Pelodiscus sinensis: one gene and its partners. The protein of the gene in region 3 interacts with the protein of the main gene of each other region in a biochemical or structural test. Links are inferred from orthologs where the notes say so. Each region holds a gene or a part of one and is shown on either strand. Other genes may lie near its edges.

The links.
Region 1: the proteins of RALA (region 3) and EXOC2 are reported together in a solved structure, tested with the Homo sapiens proteins (2 studies listed by BioGRID, with this or other methods). The link is inferred for Pelodiscus sinensis from reciprocal best matches to the Homo sapiens genes RALA and EXOC2.
Region 2: the proteins of RALA (region 3) and PLD1 form a complex in vitro, tested with the Homo sapiens proteins (2 studies listed by BioGRID). The link is inferred for Pelodiscus sinensis from reciprocal best matches to the Homo sapiens genes RALA and PLD1.

Annotation. Positions count from the first base shown.
Region 1 is NC_134712.1:115,925,910-115,932,938, forward strand, and holds the start of EXOC2 (exocyst complex component 2), read right to left. Parts: upstream 3,033-7,029; 5' UTR 2,876-3,032; intron 1-2,875. UniProt on the Homo sapiens protein: Component of the exocyst complex involved in the docking of exocytic vesicles with fusion sites on the plasma membrane.
Region 2 is NC_134720.1:39,813,287-39,821,299, reverse strand, and holds the start of PLD1 (phospholipase D1), read left to right. Parts: upstream 1-4,981; 5' UTR 4,982-5,121; intron 5,122-8,013. UniProt on the Homo sapiens protein: Function as phospholipase selective for phosphatidylcholine. Implicated as a critical step in numerous cellular pathways, including signal transduction, membrane trafficking, and the regulation of mitosis.
Region 3 is NC_134712.1:166,935,285-166,943,078, reverse strand, and holds the start of RALA (ras-related protein Ral-A), read left to right. Parts: upstream 1-4,790; 5' UTR 4,791-5,019; intron 5,020-7,794. UniProt on the Homo sapiens protein: Multifunctional GTPase involved in a variety of cellular processes including gene expression, cell migration, cell proliferation, oncogenic transformation and membrane trafficking.

The sequences.
Region 1 (7,029 bases), about 51 Mb from region 3:
TGTTTGTTTTAAGCATATAACTAATATGCATGCAGTCTAGGATGTGGTTAAGATTCTAAAGGTAAACTGAGCCTTTTCATTATAAACCTCTAATTTCAGGAATTTGTAATCTAGGATTAAAAAATGTGCCCAAGACTGAATTTTGGCAAGAGAACCCAAAAGACAGGTGGGTTTTCCTCCATCAAATTAGGGTGGGGGGACTTGCCGCTGGTTTTGAGATATAGGAATGTAAACAACCAGATTAATTTTCAGTTTGCTTTTATACTTTAATTTGAAATCTGTTTTATTTTTGCAACTGATACTTTGTACACGTAAACACAGACTAGTGCCTTTGGCTACACTGATGTTAGGAGGATGGAATGTGAAAAGTTACCACTATGCACATGCACTATTATCCATGAGGATTTGTTTGTTTGGTTGGTTTTTTTTCTTTTAATCACACTTACTTCATATGATATTAAAATCTCTGGCCTAGACCATCTCCCACATGTACAGGGAACCCTCACGAGACATTTCTTCTCCCCCATTTTGTTTACACTATGGAAGGCTATCCATAAACCACAGGTGCACTGTATGTGATGAGTAAGTAAGTAGGTCAGAATGAAGAGGAAGCGTGTGGATGGATCAGAGGCCAGACTAGTGGTGGATGAACATGATTTCTTTCCATATCCACTAGTATATTTAGAGGTGGGTCAGCTAAGGCCTGAAGCTCTGGACCACCAAACAGATATAGCTAGGGATCCACTAACTACATCGAAGGTGGGCACTATAGCCTTTTCTATAGGAAGAAAAAACTCACCTTTCCCTAAGAGCAGAGGGATTCTCAAGAAAAAGTCTTCCTAACCTCCTCATCTATAAACCAGTTCATTGGATCAAACCAACATTTTAGTGCAAGCACCTGGATAAAGGCTGGTACAATAATAACTAGCTTTTACCCAGAACTTTTTATCAACAGATCTCAACGTGCTTTTCAAGGCAGTCATTATCATTATTATATAACAGCCAGGGAAGCAGCAGCACAGAAGTTAAGTCACTCATTCTGTGACAAGATACATTTAAAGAAAACTGCCAAAATACTTATACATGCTAGCCTTTCAGAGACTGTAGCTCTGAGCAGTAGCAATCTTTTTGCATTACATGCCTGTTTTTGCCAGAAACAGAGATTCAGGATAAATTATTATCCAGGTTGTTTTACATAAATTGACACCACATTATAAGCTTCACAGGATTTTAATAAAGATTAGTAATGAAGAAAGAAAAAACTACAAGTAGTCTAGTAGCACTTAAAGACTAACAAAACATGTACTGTAGATGGTTTCATGAGTTTTCGTGGGCACAACCGTCTAAAGAAAGAAAAAGTACATTCCTGCTTAACTAGTAGAATATAAGCTCACCAAATCACTATTTAATTTCTCTATACCCTAATCTAATTAACACACTTGTTCAATATATAGGGCTACCACTATTTTTATCTATTACACATTGTTTCTCACCACTGCTGTTCAATGGTGGGCACAGCAATGAAACTGACACGAATTGCATCAGGAGCTGCTGGAGGTCCTGGCCTGGATGCAGCCTGCTCCAGGGGCCTCAAGGCTTCCAAACTCTTGGACCAGCTGAGCTGCCCAGCTCCCCCAGCATAAGTCGTCAGATGGCCAGGCATCCAGCTAGCCAGGGAGCCTAACTCATGCAAGATCTACAATTTATTAGTGCATCCAAGCTCCCTGATGCAGACTCAAAGCTAGGGCCCTCAAAGTTTTCAGGCTCCCATGCCACTGCATGAAGTCTGGAAGTAGTATGTTACTTTTCTACTGTACCTTATAATGAAGAGCAACTGCCACCACTACTGGCCCATTTACTATATTTATGGTGCCTTTAAATTGTAAAGTCTTTGTATTATCAGTGATTTTATCCCTCATTGAGGAATATAACTGCAGTGCCACAGACATAATTTAAATAAGAGCTTCCATTCAAATGAAAAACACATGTTTTTATATGGGTCTTCCAGATTTGATAACAAGCAGATGAACAGGATCCTGTTTAAAGCACCCCAAAACGACAGCATGGTTGAAGCCTCAGCTGCAGGTACTTTCTACATGACTAAGTGACCAAGTCCATAAAATATCGGTGATTATGTGACCAACTATATGGGTATGTGTACAGTGCTTTATGAATTCAGATCTGAGAGACCTGGGGCTTGTGGACTTAGTGGGTATGTCTACACTGCAATTAGACTTCTGTGGTGGCCCCTGCCAGCTGACTGAGGCTCCTGGAGCTCAGGCCAAGGAGCTGTTCTATTGCAGCACGGACATTTGGTCCACTCTAGAGGACTTTAGCGTGACAGCTTGGGCTGTAAGGCCTGGCAAGCTGGGAGGGTCTCAGACTTCAGCCCAAGCAACTACAACACTGAGCGCCTCGTCCAGAGCCAGCCTAGCACAGTTCAGCTCGCACGGGCCAGCCACAGCAGCAGAGACACGCGCAGTGTTTCCAAGCCAGGGCTCAAGCATCCACCGCCCCTCCGCACCGGCCCCACGGGCAGTGCTGGCGCCGAGCCGCTGCCACCGGCGCTGCCCCGCGGCACGGAAGTGGCTGGCGGCAGCTCGGCGGGGCCCAGCGCGGAGACAAGCGGGGCCTCCGCAGTGTGCGGCTGGGGGGCGGGGGCAGCGCTTGGCCTCTGCCGCGCACATCCAGCGCCCGGCGGGGGCAGCGTACCGGGCGGATCCCAACGGCCCGATCCGGATCGTTATTAGCAACGGCGGCAGCGAGACCCCGGGGCAGGAGGCGCGCGGCGGGGGTGCGGCCCGAGGCCAGTGACTAGGAGCCGGCTCGCGCTAACGTGCGTGTGTCCGGGATGGGAGGGGGGGGGAGCACTCACCGGCCGCTGCGCTGTTTGAAACCGGCACTGGGCAGCGTCGCTCCAGGTAGCGCCTCCGCCTCCCGCACAGCCAGGCCGCCGCAATGGAGTCCGGACGCATCGATCGCCCGGGAGGCGGAACCGGAGCAATCGAGCGGCAGCCCCGCCCCTCCCGCTTGGGCCGCGCCTTCCTTCTCCCGGCCCCGCCCCTGAGCTCCTTCCTCGCTGCCTCCAGCCCGGGCCGCCCAGTGCCTGCGCGTTCGGTCCCTTCGCCCTCAGCCGCAGCGCGAGGCCACGGCGGGCTGCTGGGTTTGGCGCCGCGCACGGGGCAGGGAGCCGGTTGAGCTCGTAAAGAAAGGAAAGCACCGAGGAGGTGCGGAGGAAGCCCGCCCGGGGACAGACTTGCCGCTCCTGCCAAGCGCTCCCAGGGCCTGCAACCTGCAAACGAGTCGTTTTCTGCTTCCAGTCGGGCTTCTGCCCTGAGCGAGCCAGGAGGGTGGTTTTTGCTGGTGGTTGGACTTTGTAAACATCTTAGTCCCGTTCTTCAGCCCGTAGGGTGCGGGGCTAATGGAAAGTGTTGTAGAAAGACTTTGGGTAGGTCTAGACTACAGGCTTTTGTCAACAGAGGTTTTTGTGGACAGAGAGGATAGGTCTACACTACAGCTGTCTACACATTGGGGTGATCTAGCGCCAAAGTGGCTGTTTTTGCGCAAAAACTTGCTGCCTGTCTACACTGGCCAGGAGTTCTTGCGCAAGAACACTGACGTTCTAATGTGTGAAATCAGAGCTTCTTGTGCAAGAACTATGATGCTCCCGCTCAGGAATAAGCCCTCTTGCGCAACTGTTCTTGCACAAGAGGCTAGTGTAGACAGGCAGCATGAATTTCTTACGCAAGAAAGCCCGATAGCTAAAATGGCCATCGGAGCTTTCTTGCGCAAGAGAGCGTCTACACTGGCATGGATGCTCTTGCGCAAAAGCCATCTCTCGCACAAAGGCACATGCCAATGTAGACGCTCTCTTGCGCAAATACTTTAATGCAAGAACTCTTGCGTTAAAGAGTATTTGCACAAGATCATGCCAATGTGGATGTAGCCATGTAGATTACCTTTCTAGACATAGGAAAATGAAGTGGCGATTTAAATAATGCCTGGCGGGATGAGGTTTACCGGGGAGGTCGACAAATGCTTTTGATGTCGACCGTGGAGTGTCCAGACTACAGAGCTGTGCCGACAAACAGCTGATTGGCACAGTGCGGCAGCAATTTTAATTTAAATGAAGCGATGATTATTTAAATTGCCGCTTCATTTTCCTATGTCTACATAGGTAATCTACATGGCTCTGTTGACGGAGCCATGTAATGTAGACATACCCATACTGTTGACAAAGCTTCTGTCGACAAAGAGTGTCTTGACTACATCCAGTTCTGTCAACAAAGCAAGCTGCTTTGTCGACATGACGGTGTAGATGCAATAATACCTTCTGTCAACAGAACTCTGTTGACAAAAGACGTTATTCCTCGTAGAACGAGGTTTACAGCCGTTGACAAAACTGCAGAGTTCTGTCGACGTTATGTCGACAGAACTCAGCAGCAGTGGAGACGCAGGTATAGTTTCGTCGACAAAAGTCCACTTTTGTCAACAAAACTCTGTAGTCTAGACACACCCTTTGAGGCCATGGCTACCCTGGCAGATGGAAAATGCTGGCAACTGCAGCGCTGCTTGCAAAGTGCAGCAATGAAACCACAGTTGGGTGGCCACAGTGTTAGCTGCCAGTTCATTAGCCTGGCAACACTCATGGCACTTGCAGCACACTGCATTCTGGGCAGCTATCTCCCAGAGCACCTCTTCCCCTTCAGAGGTGTTGGGAGGCACAGGACACCCTGAGCCCTGTCCCAGCTACGGATGTTAGATATTATTTAATTTAATGATCACATAACCACATCAGTTGCAGGATTATGCAATGGCTCCTGAGGATGGAGGCAGCAGCCAAGTGCGCTCCCAGACCCAGGGAGCCCCTACCACACTGCACTGCTGCCTCTGATACAGCTCCCCTGCCTGCTCTTCATTTACAACTCAGACTGATAGGCTGATTGAGCCAGCCTGCCAGTCCAAGTTTTAAATGCAGAGCATGAGGGGGGGGGGTGTTATTGTGGTTAACTGGGACTGTTAACCAATAAGCAATAGCTTATCGGTTAAACAATTAACCACTAACATCCCTAATCCCAGTGGCCCCTAGTGCAGATGTTCTCAAACTTTGTGATACCGTGACCCCTCTCTAAGTTGCTCACGACCCCCCCCCCAGGGAGGTCAGGACGCACAGTTTGAGAAACACGGCCTTAGTGCATCACTTCACATCTCAACAACCCTGGCACTTCCGTCCGCATTTGGTACCATGTTTCAACAATTTGCTGCATGCTCTGCCTCCTGGGTGTGTGGGAATGTTGATGAAAATGCTGACAGGTCATGCCGATGAACTATTGCTGATGGGCTATTGCAAGCCTCCGTAGGGAAGTGCGATGTCAACATGGGAAAGTTACAATAACTTAATTTAAATCAGTTTTTATACCACTGTCATTAAACTGGTATAAACTTTGCTGTGGACACTCTTAGTTTGGTTTAAGAGTGGCATCATGTGGTTTAGTTTAAACTTTTAATTAATTTTTATCTAAACAAAATATAAGTATCTGTAATCATTTAATTAAATTGGTTTAAAAAAATCACACCAATAGTTAAACCACTGCAACTCTCTCATGTAGACAAGCCCTTAAATTGATTTTAAAACCTGGTTTATATAGTAAATCTGACTGTATAAGTTAAATTAATATGAACCAGATTAAAATGAATTTAAGTGTCCACACAGAGATTTGTACCAGTTTAAGTAAGTAGATTTATGATGTATCTTTAATCAAACCAGTATGTGCAGGCAAGACCTCATAAGAGTCAATGCTGGGCTTCTACTGGGAGCGGTCTCTAGTGAATGAATATTTTCACATCTTAAAAGAAGGACCAAGGTTACTGAATATTTAACAAAACCTTCCTTTTAGCCCAACTGTAACCCACTTAAATTATATAGCTGTTAAAAGAGGAAAAGAACAGCTTTAAACAATCTGGCTAAAAATCCTTCCCCTTTTTAATACTTCAGCTTTCTGTCTCTTAGCTTTTATGAGGTCAACGTTGAATTAGTTGTCCACTCACATTTAGACAGGATCTGAATTTTTACCGTTAAAAGTACAAAGAAAAAAATCTTCAGGCATTTTCCATATATCCTAAAGAAGTGAAAAAGTGCATAGGTTCAGGAGTTTTGTATGGTATAGTGTAGGGGAGCCTAAACAGCCCTGTCTTGACCAAGACAGCGTCTGCTTTACTCAAAGTAAAGATCTCTAACAAAGCAAAACCCAAGCCTGTCTCAAGTCTGGTGCACGTAGCATGCAGGTAAGGCTGGGGCTTTGAAGCAGGAATGTTTTTGCACAATCATGCATTTCCAGCATAGTTCAGTGTGATAATGCCAAGAGAACTGGATTAATCTAGTACTGATACATTTTATTCCTAATAAGAAAAAGCAGATACAGTCATAGAACTGTTAACCAAGCACATACTTTTTGCAACATCTTGAGTAGTAGGATGTACCCCTAATAAAGGCACAATAGGTATCTTACACAATATGTAATCAATTAGTAGATATTATTAGAATGACCAAGTCTTGCTTTGCTATAAAATGGGCTTAGCAAGAAGAATTGATGGGAGGTAGTAAGCAGGATTGACCCACAAGTCCTTCTTATTGTAACTAAAAGTAAAAGACCATTCACACTAGCTGTGGCAGTGCACAGCGTCCCTAAGTGTGGCAGTAAAAGGGACAATGAACCTCCTGCAGGTGGCATGTGAATGAAGTGTAAGTGAACAAGGCTTAATTATTGCATTATAATAAATCTCCTATTAATTGCTTTTGTATTGTTTTGTATTGTATTAATTGCTTTACAAATTTGTAGTATTTAAGGCTTAAATTGTATAGTAATTGTTTTTTGAGGCTTGTAAAACAAAGGACTATATTAACAGCTTGAAGACTTGCAATAAATGAGGAAGTGGTTAAGTCTCTTTGGAGTGTCCTAGTTTCCCTTGAATCTAAAATAAATCAAACCACACGAAATATATATTCTCCTTTGCAGGTCATTTTTACAT
Region 2 (8,013 bases), on a different chromosome or scaffold from region 3:
ACCAAAAAACACTCCCCCTTTCTATAGTACTGTACTTTACTAATTGGTTTATTTCACAGACACCCCTCCCCAAAGTTCTTTCCCTATGACGGGAAAGACCCAGATCTCCCTTCTTACTGTTTTCAGTAGAGAGACCTATAGGTATCCTTTCTTCCCTGGCTTCTTCTAGTCCTTCTACCACAACCTGTTCCTTTCTTAGCAGAGATACCTATCTACACCTCCTTCCAGGTCTTATGCTTAAAGGAGAGACTCCCCTAGAAACTTGAGCTCCAACCCAGTCTCCTCTACATCTACACTAAGGAAAAGAGAGATGGTTGTGTACAACCTCCTTTCCTAGCATACCATGAAGCCTACAATGCCCATTCTGAGAACTACATCTCCCAGAATGCCTGTCTTCCGGGCTGGAACAAAAAACAGAACACAGCTGCTCTTGGAGCTCTCTTTAAAGGGTCAGCACACTCTGTTACAACAGTAATACTGGGGGAAATGATCTAGTCTGTCAGTTAGAGTACTGCAGCATATGATTAGACTGATTTATTTATTTCCCGTATTAATGGCTATGCAGGAAAAAGAGCAGGCTTTCTGAGGGCGTGACTAGCACAGAAGAGATTGTCAGCCTTATTGCATTCAGAGCCTCATACAAAGGCAAACTGAAAAAGATTTCCTTAGATCCAGGTTACTGTTTGGAGACAGTAAGAATAAAGATAAAGAGTACAGCCTTCAAAGTTAATTGAACTGTATATTTTAGCAGCTGCATGTTTCTTTAATCATGAAAATATAAACAATTATATTTTCAGGAAGTCTTGATTTTTTACATCATCATCAGAAGTAGACCTGCTAAACCTGTTTAACTGGAAAGAATTGTATCCAGTTGCTGAGGTTTTACTATTGACCACTGTATTCCTACAAACTGAAACATCTCAGAAAATAAGGGAAATTAAAGGAAATTAAAAACCTTGTCCAAGTTCTGTCTGCATGTGTAATGTTGTGTGGCTTAAATATCCTCCTTGGTTAATATGAAAAATTCTTATCAAAAGTAATCCTTTGCTGAGGATGCTGCCATCCATCATCAGGACTTCAGCTTCACTATGAGAAAACACATTTTTACCATTGACAAAATATTCACAAGTAGTCACTCATTTTGGCTATCTTAGTTGTTGGGTGGCCAGTCTGAGACATCTTAGACCTGATTTTCAGACTGGCTGAGCACTCAAGAACTCCTGCTGAAATCAGAAGAAGCCCTCTGAAAGTCAGATGAGTGGAATAAGTCATCCACATTTATCTAGTTTATTGAAATAAATATTAGCTTAAACAATTAAATGACAACTTCCCTTGTTCTTTTATTTTTTCACAAGCCTCTTGCTAGTGAAGACAAATCTCAACTGCTTACTATTTAAATGGAACAGCCATAGGACACAGCAGTGCCAATGCTACAGGAGAAGCATGGTCAAGAAGCAGCTAGATGGATGAGCCACCCCAGCGAAAGTTGACATGCATATGACATTGAGCGGAGTTTGAATATGGAAAAAAAAGAATTACTTAGCAGCGAAGATAAGAAAAACTCTCAGTAAAATTCTACAAACTCAGAGCTTGTAGAAATTTGTTAAATCTACTTGGCACCAGTTAGAACAGTGGTTTTCAAAGTATAGTCTCTGGACCACTAATGGTCCTTGACTGTCTTGCAGGTGGGCCTGGAGCTCACGTCCCCCTCTCCCTTTCTCCACCCCTGCAGCAGAGAACCTGTGCTGATGCTCTAGCCCCGCCCTGCATGGTGAAACACCAGCACTGGCTTCCTGCTGAGGGGAAGCCCGGATCACCTCAGGCTGGATCCAGCTTATGGGGGCAGGAAGTGACTCTGTGCACTGCTACTCCCCCTCCCCCTAGCTGGGGGAATGGCAGTGCAGGAAACCACTCACCTGGAGGCTTTCCCCACAGCTTCCATTGGCCAGAATCCTGGTCAATGGGAATAGAGTAGGTCGGGGCCTGGGAGTGGCAGGAGGAGCAGAGCCAGCTACCTGTCCCCACATCCCCCTAACATACTCCCTTCCTATTGAGACCCCCTCCAGCCTACTCCTGCACCCATTTTGTCATCATGGGTGGTTGGCTGGTGGTTGGCAGAAAGGTATGCATTGAGGAGGGTGGGCCTCAGGCCAAAAAGTTTGAGAACTACTGATCTAGAGCAAAGTTGTAAAAGACCTCGGCCTCACTCCTCTACCTATGATACCTCCTTGCCTCTAACAGGAACAGAAACACAAATATAAATTACCGGGAGGAATAACTAGATTATTTTCATTTTGTATTGCTCATTTTTTGAGGAAGAATGGCTCCTGAGCAAGAGGAGGGTTTTGCACAAAAAGGACTGTCTACACTGCTCTTTTTTGCGCAAAAGCCTCTTGTGCAAAAATGGCTGCTCATTAATTATGCAAATGAAGCACAGTGAGATTCCATGCAGAGCTTCATTTGCATAAGCTTTTCTGCAAGAAGGCTACAGTGTGGACGTAGCCTAAGTGTGCCAGGAGTCCTATGCGAGGAGAGCCCTGTGGTGGGTTATTTGAGGCTGGTGGGATAGAGGGTCAGTCTGTTAGCCAAGTGCCAGTAAGCAAAGCTGAAAACACCATTTTTATTCTATAGGCCAGCTGTTGAATCCAGAGTTCTTCTATATCAGTGTTTTTCAACCTTTTTTTTATAAGTACCCCTTTTAAAAAAATAAGTACCCCCAGTACCTACAGTTTTCATACACACATTTTTTTTCTACCATTGCAACACATTTGTTTAAACAACTTACTTGTAGCCAGACGGGCGATGAAATTTTTGGATGTAAAAAGTACAAAACTAATAAAGCACTGTAAAACTTAGTTGGCCCCCACCAAACCCACCGCATGCAACTATCCTGCAGTTGCATTAACCCAATGTGTGTGACATTAACCCAGGGGCAGAGATCTGGGGGAAGTGTTCCCTCTGAGGCTATGTCTACACTTGCAGCTTCTTGTGCAAGTACAGCCATTCTTGTGCAAGAACCCACAGAGCATTCACACTGCCCGCCTGCTCTTGTGCAAGGAAATTTACAGTACGGCGTGGTAAGAGAGGGCATCTTGCGCAAGAGCTACGCTCTTTTCTAACAGGTGTAAGCTCTCTTGCGCAAGAGGGCAGTGTGGATGCTCGGCAGGGATTTCTTGTGCAAAAAACCCCTATGGCTAAAATGGCCATCAGCGCTTTCTTGCGCAAGAGAGCGACCACACTGCCATAGATATGTTTGTGCAAAAGCACAGCTTGCACATGGCAGTGTGGATGTGTTCTTGCGCAAGACTTCTTGCACAAGAACTCTTGCTCAAGATGTTCTTGTGCAAGAAACTGCCAGTGTAGACATAGCCTAAGAGTTTCTTCCCATGAGGAAAATGAATTTTGTGTTGTGCACCAGTACTGAGTTCATGTGGCGTGTTTGGTTGTGCCATTATGGCACCCAAGTTATTAATAAAATATCTACCTTTCCACTCTGCTGCCATGTCTCCTCCCCTTGCTCCATCAGCTCCCCTGGTGCCTGCTGCCCCCCCCCTCCCAGCTCCTCACCCTCCTCTGCTGTCCTGACTCCTGCCGTTCTCACTGCCCTCAGCCCTCCTCCAACCTGCCCCCCTCCACCAGCCCTTCTCTCTTCCCTGTGCCCACTCCTCCAGTAGCCCCACTCTGACCTTGTGAGCTCCCCCTCCTCATCCCCTCTTCTAACACCTCACTCTACAAACCTGTTCTGCCTCTCTCCTCTGGTGCTGGTCCCTCCCCTGAAGGTGTCTGCCCTTCTGCTTCACCCTAGAATCCCCTGGCACCTGCACCTTCCCTTACTCCTGTACCCTCCTGGTGCCTCCCCCTTCCCTCACTGCCCCTGCCCCGTTTGCCTTCTTTTCCCCTGATGCCCACGTTCCCCTCACCACCCTCTCCCCCCCCCCCCCGTTCCCCTCATGCCCCTGTGCCCTCACACATGACTTGCTCCATCCCGGCCTTCCTCATGCCCACCCCTTCTTTCAAGCCTTATCCCAGCACCTCCCACTCCAGCCCCCAATGTCTTTACCCTCTCCCCTCCCAGCATCACCCTGTCCCCCCTCCCACTGACACCTCCCCTCCTGCCTTTTTCCTCATTGTCTGCACTTGGCCCCCCTGGCTTTTGTCTTTCCTCTACCCTGTCCCTTTAGTGCCTTCCCCTTTCTTCCCCCTCTCCCCTCCCCCTCCGCACAAGCCCCTTCCTCTCCCAGCCCTCCCCCTCCCTCGTCACGCCCGGGCGTCTCCCCGCTCACTGGTTTGAGCACTCTGCGCATGGCAGCAGTAGCCGGGAAGGGGGAGCTCAGTGAAGGTTGCGTATGGCAGGGACGGGAGGGGGCCAGGGACAAGGGAGAGACACTCTGGGGGGGGGGGGAGGGGGGAGCGCCGGGGTCAACTCCAGCTCCAAATATTGGTGGAGCATGGTCACCATGATCCCATGCAACTCGCTGCCCATGGCTAAGGGTACTGGTACCACTGGTTGAAAAACACTGTTCTATATGACACTGCGCATCATTCATCAGGGGATATTTTCAGAGGTGCATAAGGGAGTTAGGGGTCCAGCAAAATCTCACCACATCTATTTAGTTCTCGTGCACTTTTATTTTTCATAGTGCCTAAAGTTCCCACATACCTATGGGCCATTATGGATACTGCATATTCGCCATGAATTTGCCATATGGAATTTACACGGGTTGTATAGATGCAAAAGTTGTAATTTGTATGTAAGCTCTAGACACCTAGGTGCACGTTTTATTCACACACACACACGGCGTGTGGACTCGAGTTCTCCGCACGCACCCAGAGCCGTGCGAGACGGCAGGGCACGAAACAAATCCCCGGCTCCCTACACCCTTCTCGTGCAACCGCGCCTTGAGAAACCAAAAGCCGCTCTGCTCTTAAAAGTTTCCAACTCTTCTTTCAAGGGCCCGCCCGCACCGCTCTGCCCCAGGACACAGTGGGAGCTGTGTGGCTCCGCCCCAGCCTGGCAAGCCTCCCTGGAGTGTGGAGTCAGGCAGCGCTGGGTACCCCCCTCCAATGCACCGACAGCTCTCAAGACACCTGCTCACACACGCAGACCTACCCTGGGCACAGGTAACCCCCAACTCTTTGGCTAGGGGCGAGGGCACACGGTACGCCTGAGTAATTGAGCTAAACTACTTGGGATTCTGTCTGGCACCAAGTTTCTTCTGCAGCCTCTCCTGGGAATTTATTTCAGCTTCTCTTGAGCCCTCGCTAGATTTTTTTTGCAAACTTTTGACGTGTCTTCCCAATGCTGCTTTCTGCCTCATGGAGTTAAACCTGACTTATCAGCCAGGCAGCTTCCAGACTATCCTTTTATGTGATGGCAGATTGCTCGTGGATAAGTAATTTGTAAAAGAAATAATCTCGTTTACTTAAAACGTATTGTAGCTTCATTGCTACTTTCATAATGCTTTTTCTGCTATTCCCACGCTGTACGAGGCTGTGGTTTGGTTACCGTCTAAATCTAATTTGATCAGCATAATTTAAAGAACCAGGAAATACCAGTCCTAATGTTGGAACTTTGCATATATAATATAACTGTATAGGGCTGCCCCCCTCCCTGCCAAATTGAATTGTTCTTCACCAAACATCAAAAACCAAGTCATTATGGCACTGCTCCCCTTTCCATGTGCCATCTATGTTTCCTTCTCCAAAACCACATTGAAAAAATATTTGGCTTGCAGCACTAAACAGTAAGAGAAAAGGAAGTTAAGTAGAAAAATATTATGCAAAATAGATTGCAACTATTGCAATGTTTAAATTAATATGAAGTGGTTGTATGTGCTGTAATGCCTTTGAACAGTTTGGTACACAATTGGGGCAATGGTTTACTGGCTTCATCTTTAAACAGGACGTTGTACTTGCAACCATTTGCAATTTGGTCTTATCATTAGTTCAGAACTACTTGGGTGTGATCTGCAAAGATGATGAGTGTTGGGAGATCTTGTCCAAACTGTTTGTTTTTTCTGCTAAAGATGACAAACTGTTTTTTTCTTGAGAGAGAGAGAGAGAGAGAGAGCGCATTCAGTGGGTATTTGACTTCATAGCCCTTTGAACCCCTCTGCTAACCACCAGAGCAATTTGACCAGGATCTGGTTCCCTTCTTGTATAATCCAAGTAAACAGTGTTAGCACTGCAGACGTTGTAGTGAGCGCATTCTTGATTATTTAATATTTTGTTAGTAGTAGCTGGAATTACAAAGTCAGGAGAAGTTAAATTTCTTTTAATCCTAATAAAAGTAGTTCATGCTGGCCAGGCATGGTGGGAGTATAGGGAGACTTTGCCTCAAATAACCTTACCTATTAGCAGGTGCTGATTCTGCTGTGAAAATTTCAAGTAGGTTTGGCTGGTTTACTGATCCACCTGGTTTATTATCCCACCAGTAAGTAGGAGAGGTGGAATCCACTCTCAAGCACAGAGAGAGTCTTTGGGGACGAAAGAACCTAACATCAACTACGCCTAAATTCTTTGTCAACGGTGGTGCAACATGTCCAACAGCTTGCAGGATTAAGACCTTTAAGACTGAAATGCAATATTTTGCTCTTGGATATGCTCTTGTTACTCCCACTGAGCCAAATGTTGCTCTCAATTACCCCTGTGCAACCTCATCAAGTGAATTCCATGAGTCTTGCATACACATATCTTTGTCCAAGAGTAGAATTGTACCTTACACAGGTTACGATTTATCCGATTCAGTCCTCTCTGGAGGAGAGTAACTACAACTTGACTTCTGTATCCAAAATACCTTTGTATGCTTCTCTGACACTAATATTTTATAAATAAAGAAACTTCTTGGGCCTTTTCATTTTTACGGTTTGTTTGTGTGTTGTGTTGTTGGGTTCGCCATTTCAGTTTTGAGTTTCCAGTTAGAAAGAAGTGATCTATTAAATATGAGAAGGAATTGCAACTAATGGATCGAATAATAAAATACACACAAGTTGCTTTGCAACAATACTTAAGGAATTTAGGAAACAGGACACTTTGCTTTATTAGAAATTGTTCTCGCATGTAGATACAGTATTCTTGTGAATCTGATTTCATTGTATAGCTGTTTACATGTATGCCTTAATTTGTACACATCTTGAGTCAGCTACTTCCTGAAATGCACACCATATAGTTCCTCTTTACCAGTAAAGAGTGATACACTTTCAGGGAAAACCTTTTAAAAAAAAATCTTGTCATATAATAGAATGATGGATAGAGCTCTACATGGATACAAACTTGGTATCCACATCCGTAAAAATGATGTGCAGGTATCTGCAAATTTGCAGTGTTCTAGATATAAAATTTGTATCCGTATTCAGAAAAATCAGCTGCGGATATCTGCATTGACATCTGTGGATATAAAGCAGATAGCCATGGATTTTCAGGGGTCTAACGACTGAGCGTTACGGAAGCTAACAAAGAAGTTTGCTATTTGGCTGTATGGATGCAGTGATTTTAGATTTTTTTTTCATGTCCCCTTGATTTGTTCTTAAGAGATTTAAATCTTACCGCAGTGCAAGTGTGCCCCATCAGTGGGAATTGCACTTACAGGCATGGAGTTCTGTAGTCATAATGCAGGTAAAGTTCCTGTTGACTTTCAGTGGGAGTTTTGCTTGCAGAGGGGCTTCAGTCTGAGACGCATGTATGCTAGCTGAACTGGACTTTATGGGAGTTTGTACAGCAGCATACAACTAGAGTGAATCCCATGCCCCCTCTTTGGACAAAATCTGCTTCCCTTTCTGGGGAATGCTCCTTTTCAAAGTGCTAATATTATATAAGGAGAGCTTAGTAGAATCTTGCAGGTGGCAAGTTAAGCATTTGAGCTTATACCAATACATTTGAGTTTATACCAAGGGCTGAAGCCCTTGAATTTCTGGCTTGGGCTTCCCCATCTGGAGCATCAGGACTCAGGTGGCTCAGGTTTTTGTCCCCCACACATGGGGTCGTGTAGTAGTTTTTGTTGTGAGAAGGGGGTTG
Region 3 (7,794 bases):
AAAGTAATAGAAGTTTACGTAATGGGAAAATACACTGTAGTTGCTTTTTTTAGATGTGATCCAATTCCCACTAACATCAATTAAAAGGCTTCCACCGACTTCAATGGGATTTCCATTAACTTCAGTAGGAGAGTTCCCTTCTTTCTGTGCAGCAGAAAGTGAAGGCGGATGATTACCAGTCAAGAAGGGTAAGGGATAACAAAAGGAGAATAGGCACAGCATATTATGCTGACTCTCAGCTCTGCTTTACTGGTAGTAGCCCTCTCACTGCAACAGTGCAAATGTGGGGCTTCATGGGATTTCAGGGTGACTGATTGGAAGGAGATAATAAAGTTGGGGAGCAGTCACTCTCAGAAGGATTAACACCTGATTTACAACTTCTCCCAGTTTCATACCAGGAGGTAGTGTGTAGCTGCAGACCAGAGAACCAAGAATAGCACAGTGCAGAATCAGCCACAGTTCCAGGTGAGAAGATCTTGGATTTAGTGATAGAGACACAGTGCCAAATGAGGACAAACACAGTGGTGCATTGCATTTCATTAAACTTAGCACAGAGGAAGGGTGGTACCCATCCTGACCCCATATCGTTACCTCCCAGACATTTTAAGTGGTTCTAGTTCAGGGGTTCCAGGATTCCTACCATCTAACTTGGGGTAGTTCTATTCAGCCTACCACTAAACTCACTATTCTGAGTCCTATTCCCCCCCCCCCCCCACCACCACCACCACACACACTACTCCAGGGGGATAGAGTGTACTAAAAAGAGGGACCTCTGTTGGTAAAGACCACAATATCTTCCTCTGTCTCCTGAGGCCATTAGTGAAATCCCAGGACTTTTACTTCATTTCAGCCACACTAGAAACCAGCCACAAGCCACAATGAACTAACATCCTAACCAAATACTATCATTAATGATTAAATCCTATTTCTATTAAACTGCACCTAGAGGATTTGGCAAGGAAAATTAAAGCTTCTTAGGCCTTTGCCAATTTGACCCCATTGGGGAAAAAATTCTCTGTCCCCAAAATAGGTGATTGGTAACCCACAGCATCTGTAAAACAGGTCCGAGTTCTATCAGTCCAGGTCAAGGAGGGTAGAGCTGCAGATCCAGAGCCAGAAGAGGATTTAGATGGCCTTGGCTTTGTTTTAAATTAATGAAAAAGGAGGGCAAGAGATCAAACAGTTCCCTTCCTCCCCAAGCTAGTGAGTGAGTGGCTAGAGTCTTTGACTGGGCAGGATGCCCTGCATCCCCTCATCTTGTAGTCTTCTCTCTTGTTCAACAGGGATTGTCCCAAATGAAGCCAGTGGTCCAAAATCAGTAGGCCTGCTGCCTGGAACAGGATCTCTGCTGATCCTTAGGTTCTGTACCTGTACAAGATTATACACCTAATCCTTCCATGCTAAACTAACATCCTTACCGAGTACTATCATTATGATTAAATCCTAAGAAGCAGCTAATGTATTAATTTCTCCCCCGAGTGAAACATGTAGAATGTTTTGCATCTGTTTTTCTCTTCCACCAGAGATTTGGTGATATCAAATTTCTCTGACTTAGTTTTGCTGGGTCAAAGAGAGGTCAGTTTGTGTGGATGAACGTGCTCATAGGATTGAGCATTTTATTGAAATGATTTAATTGGAACATTCTCATATTGTGATATTGTGCTATGAATTTTCTAAAGGTCTGTGTGAGATGCAAAAATTAGCTCATCATAAACAGAGAAGCCAAAGAAGCAAAATCCCAAGGAGAAATTGACCAAACACTGGCTAAATGCCTAGGACTTGACATTTTTGAGAAAAGTGAGCACAGAGAGCAGCATTAAATCACTATACAATTTTCAACAACACTACAGCTGGTCAAAATACTTTTATTTGTTGTTGTTGAAAATCTCCCTTCATTATTTTTTCAGAAATCACCATCCTCTGCATCCTTTGTTAAGGCAATATTGAAATTATTTTAACCAGCTCTAATTACCAGCAATATCCTGTGACTAGACTACTGAAGTGTTACAGTTTGATAAGCCAAACACATAGACCAGGTACTCATTTTTAATAATATAACAGTGTTTATGTAATGGGACTAAATTGTGCTGTACTTCATTTTGAAGCGTATTTCTGAACATGATATGGTTATTAAGGCATTAACAAGGAGCTCTCCTCAGATACTGCTTAACATTGAAATGGGGTCTCCTATTATCTCTGTATTTCACTTGGCCACTTTGAGTACGTCTAGACTACAAGCCTCTTTCAAAGAGAGCATCTAGACTACAAGCAGATTTTTTGAAAAAGCGAGCCACCTTTTCAAAAGAGTCTAGATGCTCTCTTTCAAAAAAGCACAGTTTGCAGTCCATAGTGCCTTTTTTCGAAAGGGTACTTTCGAAAAAAGGCATTATTCCTCATAAAATGAGGTTTACCGTGATTGAAAAAACTGCCGTGTTCTTTCGATTTACTTTCGAAAGAACGTGGCTACAGTCTAGACACAGGTGAAGTTTTTTCGAAAAAAGGCTACTTTTTTTTTGAAAAAACCCTGTAGTCTAGACACACTCTTTAAATCATTCTGCTCTGGTTGGACACTAACCACAAAACATAGAATCATCTCAACTTCTGACTAACTCTTTCCTTCTTACCTTGTCACTGCTCTTAAATTCATTCTTTTTAATACCTTTCCCCTGATCTGCCTTCCCCGTGAGGAAAGCTCTGGTTATTCTTGCCCTCAGTGAAAATAGTATTTTATTTTTAAATTAGTCACGTGTTTCAACCTATTCCTCCCAGTTGCTAATCTCACCCCCACTCCAGGCCTCAAAATGAGCTCCACACACACTTACGTTCTCAAACTCTAATGGCAATTTAATGAAAGATGTCACAGGTTTTGGTTTTTAAAATGGTGGCCTTCTTAGATATGATCCTTCTTTTCTAAACAGAAGTGTCTAGACAGATCATGGTAGTCTCGATTAACTCTCTGGACTGACAAGTCTGTTCTGATCATAGTAGGATTTCTGGCTGACCATTGGAGTCAGGCAGGTTCCTTTAAAAAAAACAAACACCCGCATCAGTACTCACGCTAATAGAAATTGAATTTAACTTTGAATATGAAAAATACAAAGAAATCAAGAGAGTTACTAATATTCACTGTGACTGCCAGCATCTTAGACATGTACACAGTTAAGAAAGTAATCCAGGAATGGAAACAGAAGATTGCTGACACTATGAATCCTACTGATCAAATTGGTTGATGTCTCTCACTATCTACGATATATTTGAGAGAGTTTATGTGTTGTCTGTCTGTTCAAGAACTACTCCTAAACAGTAAGAATAGTTCCACTAAATTTGATACACACCATCCTTTTAACATAATGTAAAGCAAGGAAAGGATTTGGTTGGGCCAGGAAAATGGGATGTGCCTGAATGGGATTGCTTCTCATGAAATCATACAGAAAAGAGACAGAATCACCAAGCAGGTGAAGGGAGTTGGCTGGGTCCCCCCCTCTCCCCCACACACATTCATGATTTCCCCTACCCTGAACCTCCTACTGCCCAGGTGCCCTTTAAGAAGATGGGGCGGGGGCTGAAACTTCCTCCCACCTCCCCTGCTAATGTACAGAGACATTCCTGGCTGTTCCCCATTATCAGGAAGTGATGGGAAAGTGCAGTTTGCTGCATTCTTCACTCTGGTTAGGGGACAGAGGAACCCAGACCTGGCCTAGCCAGGAGACATGCACCCCTCCCCCAGCTGTGCCTGTTGGTGTTACAGTAGAAGAGGCATTTCTCATCTGGTCCCAAGCTGCTGTGAGAGAGCGCTAGGGTAGTCCTCTTTTGCAAGGTGCAGCCTGAATATTGAACTACTCATCCCCAGCCCTCCCCAGTCCACAAATTGCAGAGAGCAAGTTTGACAGTCCATTTGCAGAGTTAGGAAGGCAGTATGAAGGCTGTCCCTACCAATATGTAAAATACGCAGCCACGTAGGGCACCACAAAATTTGGGGCACCCAAATTCTGTGGTGCCTTAGGTAGCTGGGTGCTGTATATGGGGCAGTACTGAAGTCCGGCAGTCAGCCCCATTCTTTGGCTAGTCCCCGCTGAGGGCTGGACCCTAGGGGTTATGGGGACTGGGACACTCCTCTCCGTTTCACCCCCATCCTGCTCACACTTCACCCCTTCCCATAAATCCCCACCCCTACACCACTCCCCTCTCTGTCTCTTCATGAGTGCTGTGACTGGGAGCCAGGGGAGCAGAATGGGCTGGAGAAGGGCTGCTCCCCTTCTCTCTACTCCAGTGAGTGTGGGGGGCAAATCCAATCCCTGCTCCCGCCTTGCCCTGCCTCTTGAAGCTCTGGGCCTCCCCCCCACAGTTCCTGCCCCCACGCCAGTGAACACAGTACCCCCCTCAGAGGGGCCAACCGCTTTGCATAGTGACCCCCCCTATGGGGGAGGGGTGCACTGAGCACCAAAATTTGCAGGGAGGGGCCTGACTGGCGCATCTTTGCAAGAATGTATTAAAAGACTGGAAGAGTTGGGTGAAAAAGGAGAGAAAGGGAACGTGCTTCCCTCCACCCCACAGTGCAGCTAAATGGGGGGGGGGGGAATGCGAACACAAGCCACGCCCCCATTTAACGGCCACGCCCCCTTCCCCGCCCACACCAGACCCGCTCTCTTCTTCACAGCAGCTCCCAACCTCCACGCACAATTAGCCCCTCCCCTTTCGTTTCGAGCCCGGCACCTCCCATAGCCCCGCCCCCCTCCCCCGTTCCACCCTATTAGAGAGGCCGCGGGCCCCCCGCCTTCCATCAGAGCGCCGCAGCCCCTCCTTTCCCGGAAGCTGCTGTCCGGCTGGCCCCGCCCTTCCCCGGAAGCAGGTTCCGCCCGGGCCCGGCCCCCGGAAGCAGCCCTGTGTGGCGGCTGCTGCTGGCCTCGGCCCCTGCGCGGAGCCAGAGTCTCTCGGGAGCTGGGCGGACGCTTCCCCCGCCCGCTTGAGCCCAGCGCGGAGCCGCCTCGGAGCGCGGCGGCGGGAGGCGGATTCGGGCAGGTGAGTCCGGGCGGCGCTTTGCTGGGCGGTGTTGACCCCGCCCGGGTGCTGGGGGGGCCACGGGCTGCCCCCCCCCCCCTGGTTCTACCCCGCTCTGTGCTGCCCCCGGCTCCCCACACGCGCCAGAGCGCAGGTCCCGGGTGACTTCTCCGCGCTCCGCCCGGCTCGCCGCGGCGGCTCGTCCCGGTCCCAGCCCGCCTGTGGCCGCGGCCGGGGCTCGACGCCTCCCGCAAGGCGGGACCTGGGATCTTCGTTCCCTGAAGGTTAACAGCCTCTCCCCGCCGGCGCCCTGCCCGGGTGACTTCCCGACCGGTGCCGCTGCCCGGCGCTGGGGCTGCCTGTCGGGAAGGCTCATTCATTCCCTTCAGGGGGCCGCTCCCTCCTGCTTCTCCTTTGCCGTCCGGAGCTGGGCGCTTCCTTGCCGGCCTGGGCGTGAATGTGCTGCTGGGCCGCCCGCTGCGGGAGTGGGTGAGACCTCGTCCCTGAAACTCTGATCGTGTTAATTTGGGGGGCCCCAGTGAGCTCGGATGAGGTTGGAAACGAGGCGCCTGAAATCGTGGCTGTTGGCTGTAACGCTAGTCTAGATTTATTAACTCGTCTTTAAAATGGCTTTCGGCCAAGCTTGTCTTTGTACATCAGCCACCTAGGTTACTCAAGTTTTATTGTTCTAGTGTTTAAACAGCGGGCCACACCTCGATTCTAACAGTGGAGAGTACCTATCTTATCCATGGCAGGAATTGTTTTGTTCCAAGTGTACTTCAGATATGCTGTTAATTTGTCTGATCTCTTGTCTTAGTCAGTGACTGAGATCTCTGACATGGAATTCTAGTGTCAAGATCACCAATTTAAACTGCATTCAAGAGCTATATACTGTAAACTTCATTTCCAGTGATACTTTTGTGTGGTGGTGCATGTTATGTTTGCAGTTTTCATTTTGTTTATGTTCTGCATTACTAAAACTACAGGAAGGAATAATGTGCATTAATGAGGCTTTTAAATTCATAAAACTTTACATTTCTTTTTGCTTGATTAGGCTGTTAATCACTTGTATCTATATAATATGTATTTAAGAACCAACTTGCATAACTTCACCCAACATTCTGAATTTTTGTCTATTTGTTTATCCAGAAATGTATCCTATTTACTGGCACATGTTTAGTGATCATATGTGCACAATGTTGAGGGTTCTGTACATTAACACTGAGCACTGACTCTCTTACTGTAATCTGATTTGAATACTGTGATCACCAACGTATGCATTTCTTTTACAAGAGATGTGTGTGTGTAGTATCACTGAAATATAGTGGTGGAAATTCATGGCTTCTGAGTTTAAAAACTACCTCAGAATTCCTCTTTAACTTCAGGAAAATGATCACAGCTGGAGATGCCCTCACTAGAGAATTGGAGAGGCTGTGTCTTACTCAGCAGTCCTTTATAGTGCTCGACATCAGTTGAAATGCTCACATCTGGCTCTGTAAGAACATCTCAATCTAACAGCCAAACATTCTGTTAATATTTCTAGCTCTGTTTCCACAGCAACACTACATCTAAGATGTTAAATTAGGCTGTGTGGGGTTAATCTGGATGGACCTCTTCCCATTTCAACCTTGAGCAGTGAGTTGCTTAACTTAGGAGGAAGAGGGTAGCTGAACAAATGCAGATGCTAGTTTGTTTAGCAATGGCTATGATTAGACTAGTAGCTATAAAAAAAGGTAGATTTCTCCCCCCTTCATCTCATTCTCTTAAGAGGTACTGCAACAAGTTACATGGCTTCTGCAAAAAGTCTTAGTTACAATAGCATGAGGAAATAAAGTGACTCCTAAAATTCCAGAAGGAAGTGCCTAAGTGTAGATTTACTTCCATATTTCATTCTGGTGACCTTGCCTTTTTAAAGGTATCAATTTCCACTATTCAGAATACTTCAGAATTGTGCATTAGTGTTGGCCTGTTATACCCCATTTTTATAGGAATAAATTACTCCCTACTGCTCCTTCTCCCCAAAATACCTTGCAAACAAAGCCAATGGTAGAGTGAAATAACTGGATCATCTGAGCTTGCATTCATAGCTTGTTTTGCTTAATGGAGGAGGATAGATGCTGTTTCAGGGTGCACCAATGCATATCTGAAGAACTGGATGTTTTAACAAGCATGATAATACCCTAGTTAACCTGTCTCTCTAATGAGAGAATCAAAGCTGTTGCTTTGCTTTTTCTTTCTCAAGTGATAACAAATTACTTAGTTGATGAAACTGCTAGAAACTTGACCTCTACAATCAACTGGCAATCTCATGGTATCACTATTCATAAACTCTGCTGGAACAAGGGAAGGAACTCTTCATGGGAACATAAGTACGAGCAGACCCTTCACAACATGGGGGGGGGGAGGAGGGAAAGAAGCAAATTAGTGGAAAGGCAAAATTGGAGCAACTGTTAGACTGAGATGGGTACAGTCCAAATTTCACTTTTGTGTTCATGTTCACTATCATGAAAACTGGTTCTTAACTTAAGTGTTCTGCTTAATGTACTGCACTATAGTATTCATGAGTTTATTCTTAAAACTATGAAAATGTGCCCTCTTACCAAAATAACTGAAATGGAATGTTCCCCTTGTCTTAAATACTTAAATACGTAAAATCATTGGTGCAAATAGCTGTTAAACTGAGGCACAGAAAACTAAAACTGAGGATTAGCATGTTATGCTGTTCTACATGCTAAAAATCACTTAAGGACCTCTTGGGAACTGGAAACTTTATTTCTCATCAGCCTCAGAATTCTA